Nothobranchius furzeri: one gene and its partners. The protein of the gene in region 1 binds, or shares a complex with, the protein of each later gene. Links are inferred from orthologs where the notes say so. Each region holds a gene or a part of one and is shown on either strand. Other genes may lie near its edges. The genes, in order: orc4, orc2, orc5 and orc3.

Region 1 (4,248 bases):
GTGGCTTGCCAACTCCGGGTCGGGGGAGAGGTCCTACCTCAAGTGGAGGAGTTTAAGTATCTCGGGGTCTTGTTCACGAGTGAGGGTAGGAGGGATCGGGAGATCGACAGGCGGATTGGTTCGGCGTCTGCAGTGATGCGGACGCTGAGCCGATCTGTCGTGGTGAAGAGGGAGCTGAGCCAGAAAGCCAGGCTCTCGATTTACCGGTCGATCTACGTCCCAATCCTCACCTATGGTCATGAGCTTTGGGTAATGACCGAAAGAACGAGATCGCGGATACAAGCGGCCGAAATGAGTTTCCTCCGTAGGGTGGCCGGGCTCAGCCTTAGAGATAGGGTGAGGAGCTAGGACATTCGGGAGGGACTCGGAGTAGAACCGCTGCTCCTCCGGATCGAAAGGAGTCAGTTGAGGTGGTTTGGGCATCTGGTCAGGATGCCTCCTGGACGCCTCCCTGAGGAGGTGTTTCGGGCATGTCCTGCCGGCAGGAGGCCCCCGGGTTGACCCAGGACACGTTGGAGAGGTTACATCTCCAATCTGGTCCGGGAACGCCTTGGGGTCCTGCCGGAGGAGCTGGTGGAGGTGGCCGGGGAGAGGACGGTCTGGAGCTCCCTAGTTGGGATGCTGCCCCCGCGACCCGGATAAGCGGAGGAAGACGACGACGTGTGGACGGGCTCACCGTTATGCTGGCATTCCACTCCTGAGCAAACTTCCTGTCCGGGAAGTCGCCCGGCAGGCTGAGCTGCGTTTGGACACGCTCTAGGTACTGAGTGAATGTCAGGCTGCTCAGCAGGTAGATCTGACGGTGGGAAAACCGCGACTTCACCCGCTTCTCCAGCAGCTCAAGGACATCCTAAAGAGAACGAATCAAAGCTCACATCCTCTGACTGAATGGTGGGAGATGGTAAACTGGTTTTCTCAGACTCACCAGTCGACACGTGAGGCCGACCACAGCGATGGGCGCCTGGGCGGACTGGGAGACGTCAAACAGGTTGTAGAGCAGGGTCTGGTTCTTATGATGGGCGAAAAGGTCAAACTCCTCCAGAACGAACAGAACCGGACGGCTGCTGCTGCGCTCACCTTCGGGAGACCAAAACCAGCACTCGGCACTGCTTATAACAGCTAAACATTCACATTTACAATCCGTTTGAGAAACTAACCTTTTTTCAGTGCGTCCAGGAGAAAAGCTAAATTTTCTGCAAAACTTCCCTGAAAATGAAACCAAAACAACGTTTTTGCGTGGATTCTCTCGCAGGAACAGCTAAAGCTCTGTGTGAAAACTCACAAACACTTTGTCACCAACGACATTCTCCAGGTGGAGTTGTCGGGTAATTTCTTTCAGGGCTATTCTGTCGTCTGTCTGCAGCAGACCTGCAGCAAGCACAATACATCTCAATATCTGGTTCCAGCAAAAAGTCGGATTCAGAAGCATTTTTTAGATTACCGTTGAGATGAACCTGAAGGAGGTTTTTGTGCACTTCTGTTTCCTTCATCAGCTCCCTCAGCACACACTTCAGCAGCTACAAAAACTTACCGTCAATACGTGGCAACCCTTCCAGAATTTAAAGCTAATTAATCATATTTTAAGTGTTTGTTACGTTTAAGCCTGTAGAGACTCACCGTGGTTTTTCCAGCTCCTCTGGGACCGACTATTAGCACAGAGTTACTCTCCCCGTGGACAGCCGTTCGTTTCAGCAGCTCCGCGAGGTGTCTGCAGGCACATAAAAACATAAAACTGCTTCGACTAACAAGTGAAAACTGTTAAATCTTCAGAGTTGCAGGTGGATTTGAGTTGAAATCAGCTGGGAGCTTTTATCCTACTGCAAACTGGGACAGACCTGTCATCCAGGCCTGACTCAACTGGGTCATCTTACGTAATCTGAACCCCGAGTTTTCACTTTATCACTAAAAACTATGTTTTCAAACATTTTGCACATAAAATTATTTATTCTTAAATTATCCTCAGCAGCAAAATAACTAGAAACCCAGCAGAGTTCATCTGTTTAATGATTTTTGTGTCTTATTTAAAAAAAAAAGCACCAACTTGTGTTGAGCTTCCACTCCCTGTGGTCTGTCAGGGAGCTGCTGATGGCAGAAACGCCGCCTCAAAATCTGATGAACCTGCAAATAAAAGATAGATTTATGTATTTTTGCACTTAAAAGTCATAAATGAGTGTTTTCGTTAACCACACCTGGGTGATGCATTCTCCTACAGGCAGATGGGCATCTTTCACTTTCCTCTTGCTCATTATGAACTGTGAAACATTGTAAATGTCAAACATTAACACTGCAACAGTGTAACCAATTATATGCAGTTTATTAAGTTTTCTAGTAAACTCAGAAACCTGTAATTTAAGCGTTTGTTCATAAAATAGATGCACTTTCAAATACGTATGCTCACATGACAGCTTAGCTTCTAATTGCCCATCATTTTATGGTAAATTGCTACAAATTACAATATAATAAAGATTTCAGTGAGTATTATATGCGCCGAATTAATAAACAAATACTTTTTTACAGAAGATCATTCCAAGTTGGCTCGAATTTGCTTCATATCAGTCAGAAAGGAGGAATTTATACATTTCTTTTAACTTCACCATTTAGTTTGGCAGCAATTATGTCTACTGGTCTCAGCTCGTGTCCAGTGCTCTCGGCACGAGCCAGCTGGCTCTACGTCATACACTTGGTGTTTAAATCAGGTCTGTTTGAAATTAAATTATGTTGTTTCTCAATAAAAACGTGTACACGAATATAGTTGTGGTAAATATAGATGGCTTACCTGAGATTTCGTCGTGTGCAAACCTTCGCGGGAACGCAATGATGACGACTTCCTGCTTTGGCTGGATCTCCTTCCTGATTGGCTGAGACAGAAACAAGCAAAATAAAGCGAAGATGAAGTTTGAGGTAAACGGACGTAAGAATGGATGAATGCGTAAAAGCTGCACGTTAAATTAAAATAAGATTTCATAAATAGCTCTATTTTTTCCAATTTTTTATAACCGAATAAGAGATACGTATTTTAGACATAAAAGCTGTAGAAGTTTGAATGTTGCCCCCTACTGGCATAAAAAAGAGCTGAATTACCAAATCAACATCTTTTAACATAAAAACAAAATACCGTATTTATACTTAATTATTAACTATCTTGTTTAACAGTTGTACAAAACGTTATAAAGAAAAAAATGTTTTTCGTAATTTAGTATATTTGTAAAAACATTTAATCCTGAATAATTATTTACTTTTTTCAGGTTTTGTGATCTTGCCCTCTCCATTGAGAAGTCCTGAATAATAATAATAATAATAATAATAATAATAATAAATTAATTTACACATGTTCTAACTTTTGGTAGTTTTTTCATAGTTTTAAACATCTATCTGCTGAAGTTCATTCTAAGCTTAGACAGATTTCGTGCTGCATTTTTACAGTGATCCTGTAATGTGATCCTTTGGTGGGAAATGTGCTGTGAACAAAACACCACAACAAACTTCAAAATGTTATTTTTAAAAATCAGGATGAAACAATATACCCAAAAAAAGTCTATTTAGTCAATGCATTAGTGTTTTAAAAATATTTTCTTATATGAAAATCATGTCAATACTTAATTTTTAATGGCAACACAAATAAAAGAGACACAATAACTTGCTTATGTTGTTTAACTTGCCTATGTTAAAATCTAAATCACTTTTATGTATTTTATTATTTATGTGCATCTAAGGTTTTTGGCTATAATTGGGGTAATTTTAGCGTCTTTGAGCTAGCAATATTATTTGCCAAAATGTTAAAAATTAACAATTTTTCTGTGACATTTGTAAATCAGCTTTGTTCAAATATTCAGCTGAGTGTCTGAGCTGACAAAAAATATTTTTCTGCTTCACTCATTTATCTTCTTCTCAGGTTGGACCTTCAGAGCTGAGCTTCCGTGTATTTTGTTGATCTTTATTAGCATTTGTTTTAATTACGCTATCTTAGACTATGTATTCTCAATTTTAACATAGTTTGTTTTTATTCAATATGTTATTAGCTGTTTTTTTGTGAAACCCTGTGTCTTACATAAACATAATGTGTTTTCGGTAAACTTACTAAAAGTGGTTTCCTACACCAAAATAATTAATAAAAAATTTCTGTATTATTTGTGTTTTCATGTGTCCTCATGTTTTTGTGTATTATAAAATGTTCTTGTTGTAGTGAAAATGTTTTGTGTTTATTTACATTTTATGACAGGCAAATAACTGTGTAGTTTGTGTTGTTTA
Region 2 (4,162 bases), on another chromosome or scaffold:
AAACTAACTTGTTTTTATTTGCCTATTTTTCTGTCCTGCCTGTTTATTATCTTCCTGCATCTCCTCTCAGTCCTAAAGAAAAACTGCTACCTGGGTTCATATATATTCACCTTATGAGTTACCTTTGAACTGCAGTTCTAAAAGATCTACCGACCGCAAAAACAGCGGAGTGCCGCTGCTCGCCGGCCGACTACAACGGGACCGTTTTTGCTGCGGAGTTCGTGCCGGAGCGGAGATAGTGGAATCTTGGGGGTGCGTCACCGGAGGACAAAACAGGTGAAGAGCCTCGCTCCGCAGCAGCGAAACGCATCAGGCACAAATAACAGACAGAAAACATGAAAGGAAATGAGCCGACATGAACGATCGCGTGTTTAGTTAGTTTTTGAGGTGGTGACACCTGATTTGGCGGTGCTCTGGACGCAGATGTCTGGAGCGCGTCAACGATCAGAGCTTTGCATGCGCAAACTGGTTAAGATTAGGATGGGGGTGAGGGGAAGGTTAAATTGCAAGAGGGTAAAGGTCACAGTTTGGTTAAATGTCCGTTTTACCGCCGGTGTCAGTACCGACGCTCTGGCACAGCGCGTCGCCTCCGCCTCCCGACGCAGGGGCTCATCACCTGCTGGAGGACTGCATCTTGTCAGTCATTATCACGTGACAGCGACTAGTCGATGACAGGCATAAAAAGTCACTACAGAGCCGTGAAGTCGACTAGTTCATACAACCCCTAGGGAGACGTTTTAGTAGAACAGAGTCAAACCGTAGGAAAGGGCACGCCGCCACACTCACTGCAGCTGTAACATCCATTTGTTAAAGTGCTTCCTGTGTTTGTCGTGCAGCTGCTGGATCTCTTTTGAGTAGCAAGACGGTTTATCTTCTAAAAGACGATCCAACGTCTCCTGTCCAAAAAGTAAAAGAGGTGGAGTTTAGCCAAAGGTTTATTATAATGGACTAACATGTAACTTTTAATTCACACACCCGGTCAAACTTAGGGGTGTGCAAACGCTGGAGGGTCCGGTCCGACGTCAGGACCTTTGAGCTGCCATGAGCCTCAAAATACTCCTCGGTCATGGTGGGCTGATTCAGAGGCTCGGCTGTGTTCTTGCTCCTCTTGGCAGGAGTCTTGTAGAGAGCTGCAGAAAGCCCTTTACTAGGGGTTCTCGTCTTTTTCACATTCTCCTTGTCCTCTTGCTTCCCTCTCTGCTCTTCTTTGAGCTCGTCCTCCTCAGAGTCAGAGGGGGAGAGTTCACTGTCGCTGTCAGACCGAAGAGTTGGTGCTGAAAATAAGCCCCACCACACCCAGATTACACCAGCGTTACTAAACGAACACAACTACAACAGGCCAGGCGTACCTGTAAGTCTCTTCCTGAGTCTGTGAGGGGTGGTGGAGACAAACCGGACACTCTTTTTCTGTTTCAGGAGAAACAAAACTAAATTAAAACAAACTAAATCCTTCACTGGATAAAGTGAAATGTATTAGCTCTCTCACCCTCTGTGGTGTCCTGTTTTCACCTGCGTGGCCTAGACAGACAAAAGTAAACCTGATCATTTCATAATGAGAGCACAGGCGGACGGGGAGTGGGTTCGCTCGACTCACTGCTGCCTGTCCGAGAGGGAGTGGTGGGTTCCGAGTTTGTGTCCCTGGTGAAGCTCACGCTTTTTCCCGGGGTCCGAGCCAGTTCGCTCGCTACGAAGGGAAACAACAAAACAACGGTTTAATAAATGCAGCTGAAGATGAACGTTGAGCCTTCGTTCGAGAGGTAATCGGAGATTCACCAGTTTGGGCCAAGCTGTGACTTCGTTTGACTTTCTGGAAGGTGAAGATGGAGGAACCAGCAACTCTAGAAGGATTATCGTCTACTTCTGTGAAGCCAAAGAACATATTAGTGGCATTAAGAGACATTTAGGTTCATGTTATGGCTTTATTAGGTAATGTCAAAATACTAAACTCGATGATCTACAGTGGCACCGAGAAGACAGGAGGCAGGGCAGGTGAAAATGTTGAGATTGTCTTCAGGAGTGACAGGATCAGGATTAGAGGGACTGCGTTAGATGATTTGAAATAAGATCAGGCTAAGATGGTTTGGACATGGAGGAATCTGCAGAAGGATGCTCAGGCTGGAACAGCCAGGCAGGAGTCGTGGAGGAAAGCCAAAGAGCAGATTTATGGATGGAAGAGTGGAGGATGAGGGTGAAAATGCAGCAGGACAAAACCAGAACCAAGGAAGGGATACCTTCATCGTTTTCAGTTCCTAAAGCTCGGACATAACCCAGCTCATCATGGACTCCGTTTTCATCTCCATCACACCGAGTCTCCTCCAGGCATTCCCTCTGTCCAGCCGGGCTCTTAAACTTCACCATCCTCAGCCCAGAGCCAGCACTGCTCTGCAATACTAGTCACAACACACACACACACACACACGCGCGCGCGCGCGCGCACACACACACACGCACACATAAAACGAGAGCGAATGGGCAAAAAACAAAACAGCAGAGATAAACCAGCTCATACCCTCCTGTTTGTCCACGATGTGCTCCAAAACATCCCCATCCCCAACGAACTTCACCTCCAACACGCTCATTTCTACCAATAAACACAAAACACACGATACAAGCCTGAAGCCACGCAGCAAAACACACAATTAGCCCTGCTACTAGAGTCGGTTTGAACTCTCGCGCTAAAGCTGAGGAAAGTGAGCGCAAAAGGTCGAGACTTACTCAAACGGGCGGAAAAAGTCCGCAAAACAATATAAAATTTAAAACATAAACAAAACTTTAAAGTCGGAAAGTTTAATTGAGAAGCGATGTGACAAGTTTCCGCGCCATTCTGAACATTTTAAATCACGTGACTGAGTGGAAAGGTCATAAAGTGGCCAATCAAAACGCTAGTAGCAGTAAAACTACGTTTCCCAAGAATCCTTTCAACAAGTCCGCCTGTCACAAGTCCACAGACAAATAATATTCAAGTCAGGTATTCTTACTCTAATTCACAGCAGTAGAAAAAACTTTGTACAGGTAAGATCAAATGTAATGGACACAATATGACACGCTTAAGCACAGAAAAGAAGAAGTAGTGAAAATAATGAAAATAGAACTGTGAAAATAAAGTTTAACGTTGTAAAGAAAAGAAAGAAAGAGAACGATCTTTTCTCTCAAGTTAAAAATCACGAGGCGCTTCACAAAACCAAAAAATTCAAGTATAAAAAGATTTAAAAAATGATTACAAATATGTTTAAAAATAATATATGAATTATAAAAATAATAAATTAGGATTAAACCAAATCCTAAATACAAGGATTGACTGGATACTGATTAAAATACTTTAATGATTCAGGTTGATATCTGATCTGACATTAGTTAATGTCCATATTTCAAGTTACATTCAGTTTGTGGTCATTTTCAATAAGAATCACATTTCTTGGTAATCTGTAAAGGGCATTTTATTGCCATGTTTATTTTTTTCATTCAGTTTCAATTTCAAGTAGTCTTGAGAATCAGTGTGTGTCACGTTTGATGCTGTGATTATTGTTTATTTAGTATTCATTCAACTCCACAATCCGGTTAAAGATTCACTAAAGAAAGGGGATTTAGATGTCTTGCTATTAGTTAAGTCTTTTCGTTCTAGCGGCCTCAAATATTATTCTGAAATCTGTCTACGTGTGTGTGTGTGTTAGTGAGCACTTTCCCTCTACCAAGATGATCCATCCCACCGCATGTAGAAAAAGTTTCAGAGGTTTCAGTTCAGCTCATGAAAAATGGGAGCAAAAACAAAAGTGTTGCGTCTATATTTATACTGACAAATTTGTTCGTGAGAATCCAGATTTAGAAAACTATTTAACACTTTGGATTCACTTTTGCTCATTGAAACAGTTTATTTTTTCACCTTTCACTACAAAAATTTAGTTGATACAGTTTTACACAAGACAATATCTGCACTTTTTTGACAAGAACATCTTCAATTCTGTATGAATACAATCCACCATGTATAAAATCTCCTTTATGTGGATCTAAATTCCTCCTTTAATCTTCTGGATGTTATTCATTTTTATGTCTTCCTCGGAGATCTCATGGGGCGAGGCAGGGAAATACACTCGCTCATAAGTTTGGGTTTGTTCTGGTTGATAATTCCTATTATATTGATTTAAAATAAAAACTGAAATGACTG
Region 3 (3,560 bases), on another chromosome or scaffold:
ACTTCCTTCACATTTTACCATGGTGTACACGATTACAAAAATTATGATGCAACATTACCTTCACCATTTAGAAACTGAATCCCAAACGCTGTTATTACTGAAAAAATAACATTAACACCTTTTATAAAAAAAATACAGCTTATTACAAATAATTTTTGCCAGAAAAAAACAGCATTTTTCTTTTCTAGCTTCAACATTGCAGGTTATGGACCAACAACTTTCCCTGCGGTGCTGACAGTTTGCTCCGATGTGAGCTTGTGGTGCAGATGCAAGCTTTCAAGCCAGTCACGACCTCTCGGGAAGAGACTAGCAGCATGTTTCCACCAGAAAAGTGATTTGTCATCTCCTTGAATAACAGGCTTCAAATAAGCTGTTGCTTCATATCTAGATTGTTTCTCTGCAGTGCCGACGGAACCCAACGTCACCTCTTTATGCACGGGAACGTTCGTTGAAGGGGAAACGCAGATTGACATAACATCGGCTCTCTTTTATCATTTGCTTTGAACCCGAATTACTTCCAAACTTCAGAAACAGTTTTATTTATTTTTCTATTTTTTTACACCAAGTCAGTGAATGTGGGACCTGCTATCTTCCCCCCCCCCCCCCCTCTCTCTCTCTCTCTCTCTCTCTCTCTCTCTCTCTCTTTCTCTCTCTCTCTCTCTCTCTCTCTCTCTCTCTCTCTCTCTCTCTCTCTCTTTCCCTCTCCTCTGCACTCTCTCTCTCCTCTGCACTGTCACATGACAGCGTCATGTTCATAAACTTTGTGGAATGTCTCCCAATAGTCTGCCATCACTATTTAAATAAAACAGACAAATCAACCATACATCAGTTTTACACATCAATTTACTTTTTACATATTAAATTGTTTTAAAAAAATTCATTCTTATCTAAGTGCACTGCGGTTTTTTTTTTCAGGACGGTATTGTCACTGATATCGTTGCTATTTTTAAACACCGTCTATACGGCATTACCATAATACAGCCCATGAGGATCCAGCATTGTCACAACTCTGCTCGGCCTTTTTTTCCCTCTCCCAATTCTCCTCATGTAATCCCCTCTTCAACTATTATCTAACGGTAGCGCGACTCTTGTTGCGAATGACCACAGTACCAATTCTTCTGTACTGAAACAATCGCCCCTCGGGGATGATTAAAGTTTTTTTGAATTGAATTGAATTGTTTTTTTCCTTCAAAGGTTTGTCAGCTCACACTCATGTTGAACTTCCTTATTACTCCAAGTTCCTGCTGATTGCTGCCTACCTGGCCTCCTACAACCCGGCTCGCACTGATAAACGCTTCTTTGTGAAGGTAGAACAGTTACAGTTCATTACATACCTGCTATTTTATTTTCCTAAACTGGTTTTAAGATGCTGTGTTTTCCCTTTCTGCCTCGCAGCATCACGGTAAAATACGAAAAACAAACTTCTTGAAGAAAAATGAAAAGGTGAGAGGTCAAACTCACCTAAAATCTAAAACATCAGCCATTGAAATTAATCAATTTTCTTCTGGGATTAATAAAGTATTTTTGAATCGAATTGAATTGAATTCTGTCTCTTTTAGACGAGTAACCACCTTCTTGGGCCGAAGCCCTTTCCTCTGGACCGTCTACTCGCCATTTTTTACAGTGTGGTGGACAGCAGAGTGGCCCCGACTGCTAGCATATTCTCCCAGGTCTGATCATTTTTAGGAGTACTTTATTAACATTTCTGTTCAGAAAATGTGAGGAAAAACCTTTATGCCAAAAAGTTTTTGCTTTTCTTTCACACAAAGAAGATTTTGCTTCTTAAAATGTCATTTTTGTCTGGATTTCAATTTCAAATCTAAAAATACGAGCACTGAAAAAATAAACTTTAGTCAAATAAAGTGAAACTTTTACATTTCAATACCAACTGACAACATAGTTGTAGAAAAGATTTTTTAATTTTATCAGAGTTGTGTTGAAACTACATCGAAGTAGATTTTATTAATGAGTTTCTATTTTAAATAACATTTGAACAAAGGCTTTTATCTGCTGGTGGTGTTAAGGGTGTTTTGTGTCTTTAACTTGTAAAATACAGACTAAACCTTAACCTTTAAAAAAATTAATCCAGAGGTTTGATATTTCAAAGCCTTTAAATTAGTGTTTTCCTGCATTTCTAAACACCTATTTAACTTACTTGAAGAAACTAACATGTTTTTAATATTTTAAGCAAAATTACATTCTAAATTTGGATTTTGCCGTTTAAAGAAGCAATCAAAGAAAGTGCATTGTTGCAAATATTTGGCCACCCGTTGTTTTTTGCCATTAAACATTAAAAAATGATTTCCCTTTTACAAATGCTCTTTACTGTTTCTGATGAATGTTTCCTGCAAAAAAATATTTTCAGTGTTTTACATCCACTGCTTTCATGGAAAGAGGATTTTAATTGAGTTTAAGCTGATGAAGTCAAAATAAATAATACATGATTCTGGTATTTAGATGAATAAAATCTTTTAATGTAATGTTTCTTCTCTGCTGCACACACACACACACACACACACACACACACACACACACACACATATTTATTGGTTGGTGATGATATTTTAAAAGTTAAAGTCCATTAGTCATCATCACATGCTGATGAAATTGCATCTCCGCATTTGACCCATCCCCGTGGGGAGCGGTGAGCCGCAGCTGTGGCTGCACTTGGGAACTATTTGGTGTTTTAAACCCCAATCCAACCCCTTAAAGCTGAGCGTCAAGCAGGAAGTTATTGGGGCTCATTTTTAAAGTCTTGGGTTTGATCTGACTGGGATTTGAACACTGATATCCCAGTCTCAGGGCGGACACACCACTAGGCCACTGAGATGGGAAATGTGAAGAGCATTTCGAGCAAATGGAATAAAAGCTCCAGAAAAACATCTCATACTGCACCTTTAATAAACAGAGGGTTTCCTCAGATCTACGAAAAGTTCTGATTAAAATGCCTTCAGGAAATCTGTGTTTCTGCATTCCAATATTTAGAGCTGCTGTGTCAAAGTGAATCAGCCGTCTGTTCCAGGATCAGAGAATCATTCTGTTCCTCCTCCCTTTAGATCTCCTCTCTGGTGACCCTGCAGCTGCTGGTTCAGATCAGCCATGACGACCAACTCGATGCCCCAAAATACAAGTGTGCAGTTACTCTGGATTTCATTTCTGCCATATCCAGGTGTGTGTGTGTGTGTGTGTGTGTGTTATCTGTTATCACACGACAGAGAGTTGCCAAATTAATCAAGGGATGTGACCTTTTATAGTGTTATGGAGAATGTGCTTGGTGTGATTTTTTTTTTTTTTCAGGACTGTGAACTTTGATATTGTGAAGTATCTGTACGACTTCCTGTGAGCCAGCGGGGCCTGAAGGAGAGAAGACGCACAATGATGGTAAGATATGAAAGATTTATGCGTGCAGGAACACACTTCAAGACAAGTGTTTGGCAGAATAAACGGTCCAGACTTCTGTTATGTGGAGGAAAATTAATCTGATTATAATTCTGCCCCCTTGTGGCTGATATGAATTACAAACGATCTCAAATATTCAAATTTGTAGTAAACAAACTTTA
Region 4 (4,024 bases), on another chromosome or scaffold:
CTTTTACTTAAGCAGCTACAACATATGAGACCCACGGTTATTATAAAAAAGAGGATTTTTAGTGAATCATAGCTCATTTTGTTGTTGTCTTTTTGTTTCCTACCCTGTCTTACTCAGGATTTGAGACGTTATGCTGCAGAATGATTTGTTTCTTAATGCATCAGATTTCCAACTGTTAACAGTCATGGTCACAGTTAACAATGAAATGGCCTATTTTGTACCTAATTGAAAAAATATGTCTCTGATGATTTTAACTATGTATGTTAGTTATAATAACCAGGTAAGCTATAGGGCATAGATTTTAGAACCATGTTTGTATTTATGCTTAGTACTGAATATGTTTTTTTTCTTTTACTAAATGGACACCTTTTAAAGAAAACTATGTTTTTATAAATATCCCTATGGGATTTCGAGTCCTGTTTGTATTTATTTCATCCCTTTTCAACACTAGTAGACCTATCTGTAATATTTACATGTCTTCCACAAAGTGTTCAATAAAATGTTACTGGTTCTTTTTTATAAAAGCACGAGTGAAATCTTGTCTTTTTAAAAATGTCATCAATTTGATCTACAAATACAACAACACAGCTGCTTAAACCCAGTTATTCATGAAATTGTAACTTCTTGAATTAAATAAACTTTCAAAGATGATCTCATAAACCATTTTAATTTATAGCACATTTAAAAACGGCATGATCAAAGTGCTGTACACGGAAGGATTAAGATTCTGGGAAAGGGATAAAATGCAGCATTCACAAATTGGACGAAGCTAGAGCCAGTTTAAAAGATTTAAATTATACTTTATTATAATCTGCAGAATCACATTCATAATGTATTGTCAATATGTTTACTTTATTCATAAGTAGTTTATGAAGCTGTTCTGAATTTATAACAAGCTCCATTTTTATTTTTATTTAAATTCAAATAAAGCCAAATTACTTTTAATCTAAAACTAAAAGATGTGGTAAACAAGACTAATACACATTGTGGATTACATGCATTTTATAATACACAGAAAATGTGTTTAATATTTGAGTCATTCAATTTTTAGACAGCTTTGTGATATTTAAATATAAACACACAAAATAAAATATATGTGTGTGATCACGGTTACATTTTGTTGTCTATTATATTCTATGGCGGCATCTAATTATATGCTATAGCGGCTACATCTAATTATATGCTATAGCGGCTTGCCATACATTCTAACACTTCCAACCTTTTCCGTAAACGTCACTCTGGCGGGAAGTCGCGGCTACGTTTCATGAAAAGTAGCGTTTTTTTAAAAAAGAAACTACTACAAAGAGTTTGAAGAAAGATGGCCACCTCTTCTGTTTCAAAGGTAACTTCTTATAGCTTGTTGTCGTTCAACGACGTTTCTATTAACAAAAATGGAGACCTCGCGATATTTGCGTCAGACTCGACTGTGTTTTGCTGTGTCCCTTTAGGGCTGCTTTGTTTTCAAGCCCAGCGCTAAAAAGAAGAAAAAGACCCTTGATTTGGGTGAGCTATGTTACATTAGACAGAGAAGAGTTGTTAGTTGGATCTGTTTGTTGCGATATAAACGTGTCTGTATTTTTACACAGAGAGCTATTTCACTGATGGCTGTGAAGATGCACGGAGCAGTGAGTTGAGATTCGAGCTCTGCCAGGATCTGTGGGACCAAATCAAAACTGAGACAGAAGTAAGAACAAATTATAATATCAAAAAAATACAGAGAATGTGCAGATCAGCATAATCTTTTTTTTTTAAATAAGATTTTACAGGATGAGCTCAACAGAAAAGTTCTGGACAGTTTGTTGGAGTTCACCAAAAAATGCTCCTCCATCCGCCATCACAGTGACTGGACCTCACAGATGAGAGCAAGTGAAATTCCCACAGCCGCTCTCATCCTTGGTACCCAGTAGTTATTGTTTTGTTTTTTCAAGCTGCTAACTTGCATTATTACAAAAATCCCGCAAGCTGCATTTGACTTTCATCTCTCACTGCAGGCGTGAACGTCACAGATCATGACATGACCTTCCAGAGTCTGTCTGAGCTGCTCCAGACGTCTGTCACCCCCCATGTGGCGTCTGTGCAAGCCAAAGAGTGTGGAGGTGATGGGAAAAGCTTCAAAATATACAAACGCGTCAGGATTTTACTGTAAATGTCACAATATTCAGGAGTAGACTTTTTGGTTTTATTATTTCAGCTCTTAAGCATTTGATGAAGAAGGTTCTGGAGAGATTGATGGACACGGTTGTAGCTGTAGGTGATGATGATGATGATGAGGTGGAGGAGGAAACGGAGCAGCACCACAGGAGTGTTCACTGCTCCTTGACGACTCTCTGCGATTGGTATAGTAAGAAAACAAAGGTGAGGACACGACGCAGGTCCGCTCATGCAGGTTTTTAATTCGGCGAGGTGAAAACAAACGTTTTCTTGGGTTTAAGAAATCCAGCAGTGGAACTCCCGGAAAAAAGCGCAGTTCTTTGGTCGTTAACGAGCAGCAGGAGCCTCCGGTGGTGATCGTCTTCAAAGATTTGGAAGCTTTTAATCCGAGAGTTCTTCAGGACTTCATCCTTGTCTGCAGGTGACTTTAGAGCAGACACGTGAGAAGCTCTCACGGTTTACGTTGGAAGGTTAAAACTGCGTCTGATGATTGATCCACAGCCGTTACGTTCAGCGTCTTCCCCTGATGTTTATCTTCGGGATCGCCACGGCGCCCAGCACCATCCAGCACATGCTGCCTCACTCTGTGTCCTCGCTGCTGTGCATAGAGCTCTTCCAGTCCCTGTCCTGCTCTCAGCATCTCACCACCGTCATAGAAAAGGTGCCTTCACCGTGACATCTGTGCATGCTGATCGAAGATTTTGAATCTGATAAAAGTCCATCCCTTCTTTCCAGTTGATCCTGACACATTCTTTTCCCTTCAAACTCAACGGGAAAGTGATGCAGGTGCTGGTGGGCATCTTCCTCTACCACGACTTCTCAGTCAAAAACTTCATTAAGGGCCTGCAGGTGAGGATCGGGGTCTAAACGAGTAAGGTATGTAAATGTAAGGGACTGATTTTCTCCCGACTATCTTCCCGTCCTGGGTGCAGCTGGCCCTGCTGGAGCACTTTTACTCGCAGCCCCTCAGCGTGCTGTGCTGTAGGAAGGAGAAGGCTCTGCTGAACCTGAAACACCTTCGCCATGATGACCTGGAGAGGGTCAGGCAGCTCCCGTCGTTCAGGAGGTGAACAAAACCAGCTGAGATGATCATTTTCTATAACTGAATGAAAAAAAAAAAAGCTCTTTGTGTTAAAATTCGTTTTTAGGTTTGTGGAAAAGCAAGAAATAGAAGAGCAGGAAAAGCTCAGGACGGATGACTCTCATTTAAAGGTTTGTTAAAGATTTCAGTTTTTAGACGACTTTTTTTTTGTGCACAGGATTTTATCCTTTTTGTGATTTTAGAACGTTTGTCAAAAACTGATGAAGGATCTTCACAAATACCACAAGTGCTATTATCCCATTTTGAGGTGTCTCCACACTCTGACCTCATCGTTGCCTCGATACCCTCTCGGAAAACAGGCAAGAAAACAGTTTTAAACTTTCATTTAAACCATCTTTTTGCTTTGGTCTCACTTCGTTCTTTGATTTTTGGAGTCTCCTTTTTCTTACTGCTGCAGATCAGGGAGCTGCACTTGATTTGCCTGGAGAAGAACGTGTGGGAGGCGGAGGAGTACCAGTCAGCTGTGAATCTTTTAAAGTAAGCTGAGCTCAACATAAAACTTGTAATTTTTTTATTTTTTGAGGCATTTCTATTTAGCTATTTTGATGTAAACGCAATGCCATCTCTCCATTCAGTTGCAGCCAGTTAGATTTGCCACTAGGTGGCGACAAAGTTGTGGGATTTTTAGAGGTGTTCCTCCCCCTGGTGGTCAGTATTTTTGTACTTTTTTCTTCAGGATGCTGGCGAAAGACGAGCTGATCTCTTTGCTGCAGAAATGTGCAGAAATCCTGCAGCCCATCAGGTCAACTCAGATGAAGAGTGCTTGCGTCC

The links.
Region 2: the proteins of orc4 (region 1) and orc2 are in contact, whole or in part, in a cryo-EM structure (PDB 7JPP), measured with the Homo sapiens proteins. The link is inferred for Nothobranchius furzeri from reciprocal best matches to the Homo sapiens genes ORC4 and ORC2. Residues at the interface, in NP_001177808.1 of Homo sapiens: Lys168, Asn169, Arg195, Glu200, Leu201, Lys204, Arg205; in NP_006181.1 of Homo sapiens: Asp501, Asp504, Tyr508, Ser512, Gln518, Glu522, Val554.
Region 3: the proteins of orc4 (region 1) and orc5 are in contact, whole or in part, in a cryo-EM structure (PDB 7JPO), measured with the Homo sapiens proteins. The link is inferred for Nothobranchius furzeri from reciprocal best matches to the Homo sapiens genes ORC4 and ORC5. Residues at the interface, in NP_001177808.1 of Homo sapiens: Ser18, Gln21, Arg22, Arg25, Glu26, Cys29, Arg30, Gln31, Arg69, Thr74, Asn100, Leu102, Leu103, Gln104, Ile105, Ile109, Glu113, Arg116, Asp162, Arg277, Met281, Met284, Leu285, Asn288, Met311, Asp312, Ser313, Lys314, Asn316, Ile317; in NP_002544.1 of Homo sapiens: Ile17, Ser20, Leu21, Phe22, Gly23, Glu24, His26, His27, Phe28, Ser29, Phe30, Pro31, Tyr36, Gly37, His38, Thr39, Thr98, Phe99, Asn100, Val103, Arg104, Arg131, Glu134, Asn136, Pro139, Gly140, Arg143, Gln145, Glu146, Leu147.
Region 4: the proteins of orc4 (region 1) and orc3 are in contact, whole or in part, in a cryo-EM structure (PDB 7JPO), measured with the Homo sapiens proteins. The link is inferred for Nothobranchius furzeri from reciprocal best matches to the Homo sapiens genes ORC4 and ORC3. Residues at the interface, in NP_001177808.1 of Homo sapiens: Pro370, Lys374, Glu377, Gln381, Ser392, Gly393, Asn394, Ser395, Gln396, Arg397; in NP_036513.2 of Homo sapiens: Thr227, His260, Arg261, Leu262, Leu263, Pro264, His265, Ala266, Ser269.

The regions. Positions count from the first base shown.
Region 1 is NC_091743.1:85,852,357-85,856,604, forward strand, and holds the start of orc4 (origin recognition complex subunit 4), read right to left. Parts: upstream 2,851-4,248; 5' UTR 2,777-2,850; intron 2,253-2,776; 5' UTR 2,247-2,252; coding exon 2,190-2,246; intron 2,119-2,189; coding exon 2,042-2,118; intron 1,709-2,041; coding exon 1,618-1,708; intron 1,518-1,617; coding exon 1,442-1,517; intron 1,369-1,441; coding exon 1,283-1,368; intron 1,207-1,282; coding exon 1,158-1,206; intron 1,078-1,157; coding exon 926-1,077; intron 851-925; coding exon 677-850; intron 1-676. UniProt on the Homo sapiens protein: Component of the origin recognition complex (ORC) that binds origins of replication. DNA-binding is ATP-dependent. The specific DNA sequences that define origins of replication have not been identified yet.
Region 2 is NC_091751.1:63,947,928-63,952,089, reverse strand, and holds the start of orc2 (origin recognition complex subunit 2), read right to left. Parts: upstream 2,853-4,162; 5' UTR 2,716-2,852; exon of another isoform or gene 2,582-2,715; 5' UTR 2,580-2,581; coding exon 2,510-2,579; intron 2,391-2,509; coding exon 2,232-2,390; intron 1,861-2,231; coding exon 1,774-1,860; intron 1,685-1,773; coding exon 1,595-1,684; intron 1,519-1,594; coding exon 1,487-1,518; intron 1,408-1,486; coding exon 1,350-1,407; intron 1,275-1,349; coding exon 976-1,274; intron 897-975; coding exon 787-896; intron 1-786. UniProt on the Homo sapiens protein: Component of the origin recognition complex (ORC) that binds origins of replication. DNA-binding is ATP-dependent. The specific DNA sequences that define origins of replication have not been identified yet.
Region 3 is NC_091741.1:42,954,344-42,957,903, forward strand, and holds part of orc5 (origin recognition complex subunit 5), read left to right. Parts: intron 1-1,194; coding exon 1,195-1,307; intron 1,308-1,395; coding exon 1,396-1,443; intron 1,444-1,559; coding exon 1,560-1,670; intron 1,671-3,056; coding exon 3,057-3,169; intron 3,170-3,297; coding exon 3,298-3,343; 3' UTR 3,344-3,381; intron 3,382-3,560. UniProt on the Homo sapiens protein: Component of the origin recognition complex (ORC) that binds origins of replication. DNA-binding is ATP-dependent. The specific DNA sequences that define origins of replication have not been identified yet.
Region 4 is NC_091758.1:29,126,615-29,130,638, reverse strand, and holds the start of orc3 (origin recognition complex subunit 3), read left to right. Parts: upstream 1-1,222; 5' UTR 1,223-1,318; coding exon 1,319-1,342; intron 1,343-1,448; coding exon 1,449-1,503; intron 1,504-1,586; coding exon 1,587-1,684; intron 1,685-1,757; coding exon 1,758-1,896; intron 1,897-1,991; coding exon 1,992-2,096; intron 2,097-2,191; coding exon 2,192-2,355; intron 2,356-2,432; coding exon 2,433-2,572; intron 2,573-2,652; coding exon 2,653-2,812; intron 2,813-2,886; coding exon 2,887-3,000; intron 3,001-3,083; coding exon 3,084-3,217; intron 3,218-3,299; coding exon 3,300-3,363; intron 3,364-3,435; coding exon 3,436-3,552; intron 3,553-3,650; coding exon 3,651-3,730; intron 3,731-3,929; coding exon 3,930-4,024. Other genes in the region: znf292a (zinc finger protein 292a), read left to right, coding at 1-72. UniProt on the Homo sapiens protein: Component of the origin recognition complex (ORC) that binds origins of replication. DNA-binding is ATP-dependent. The specific DNA sequences that define origins of replication have not been identified yet.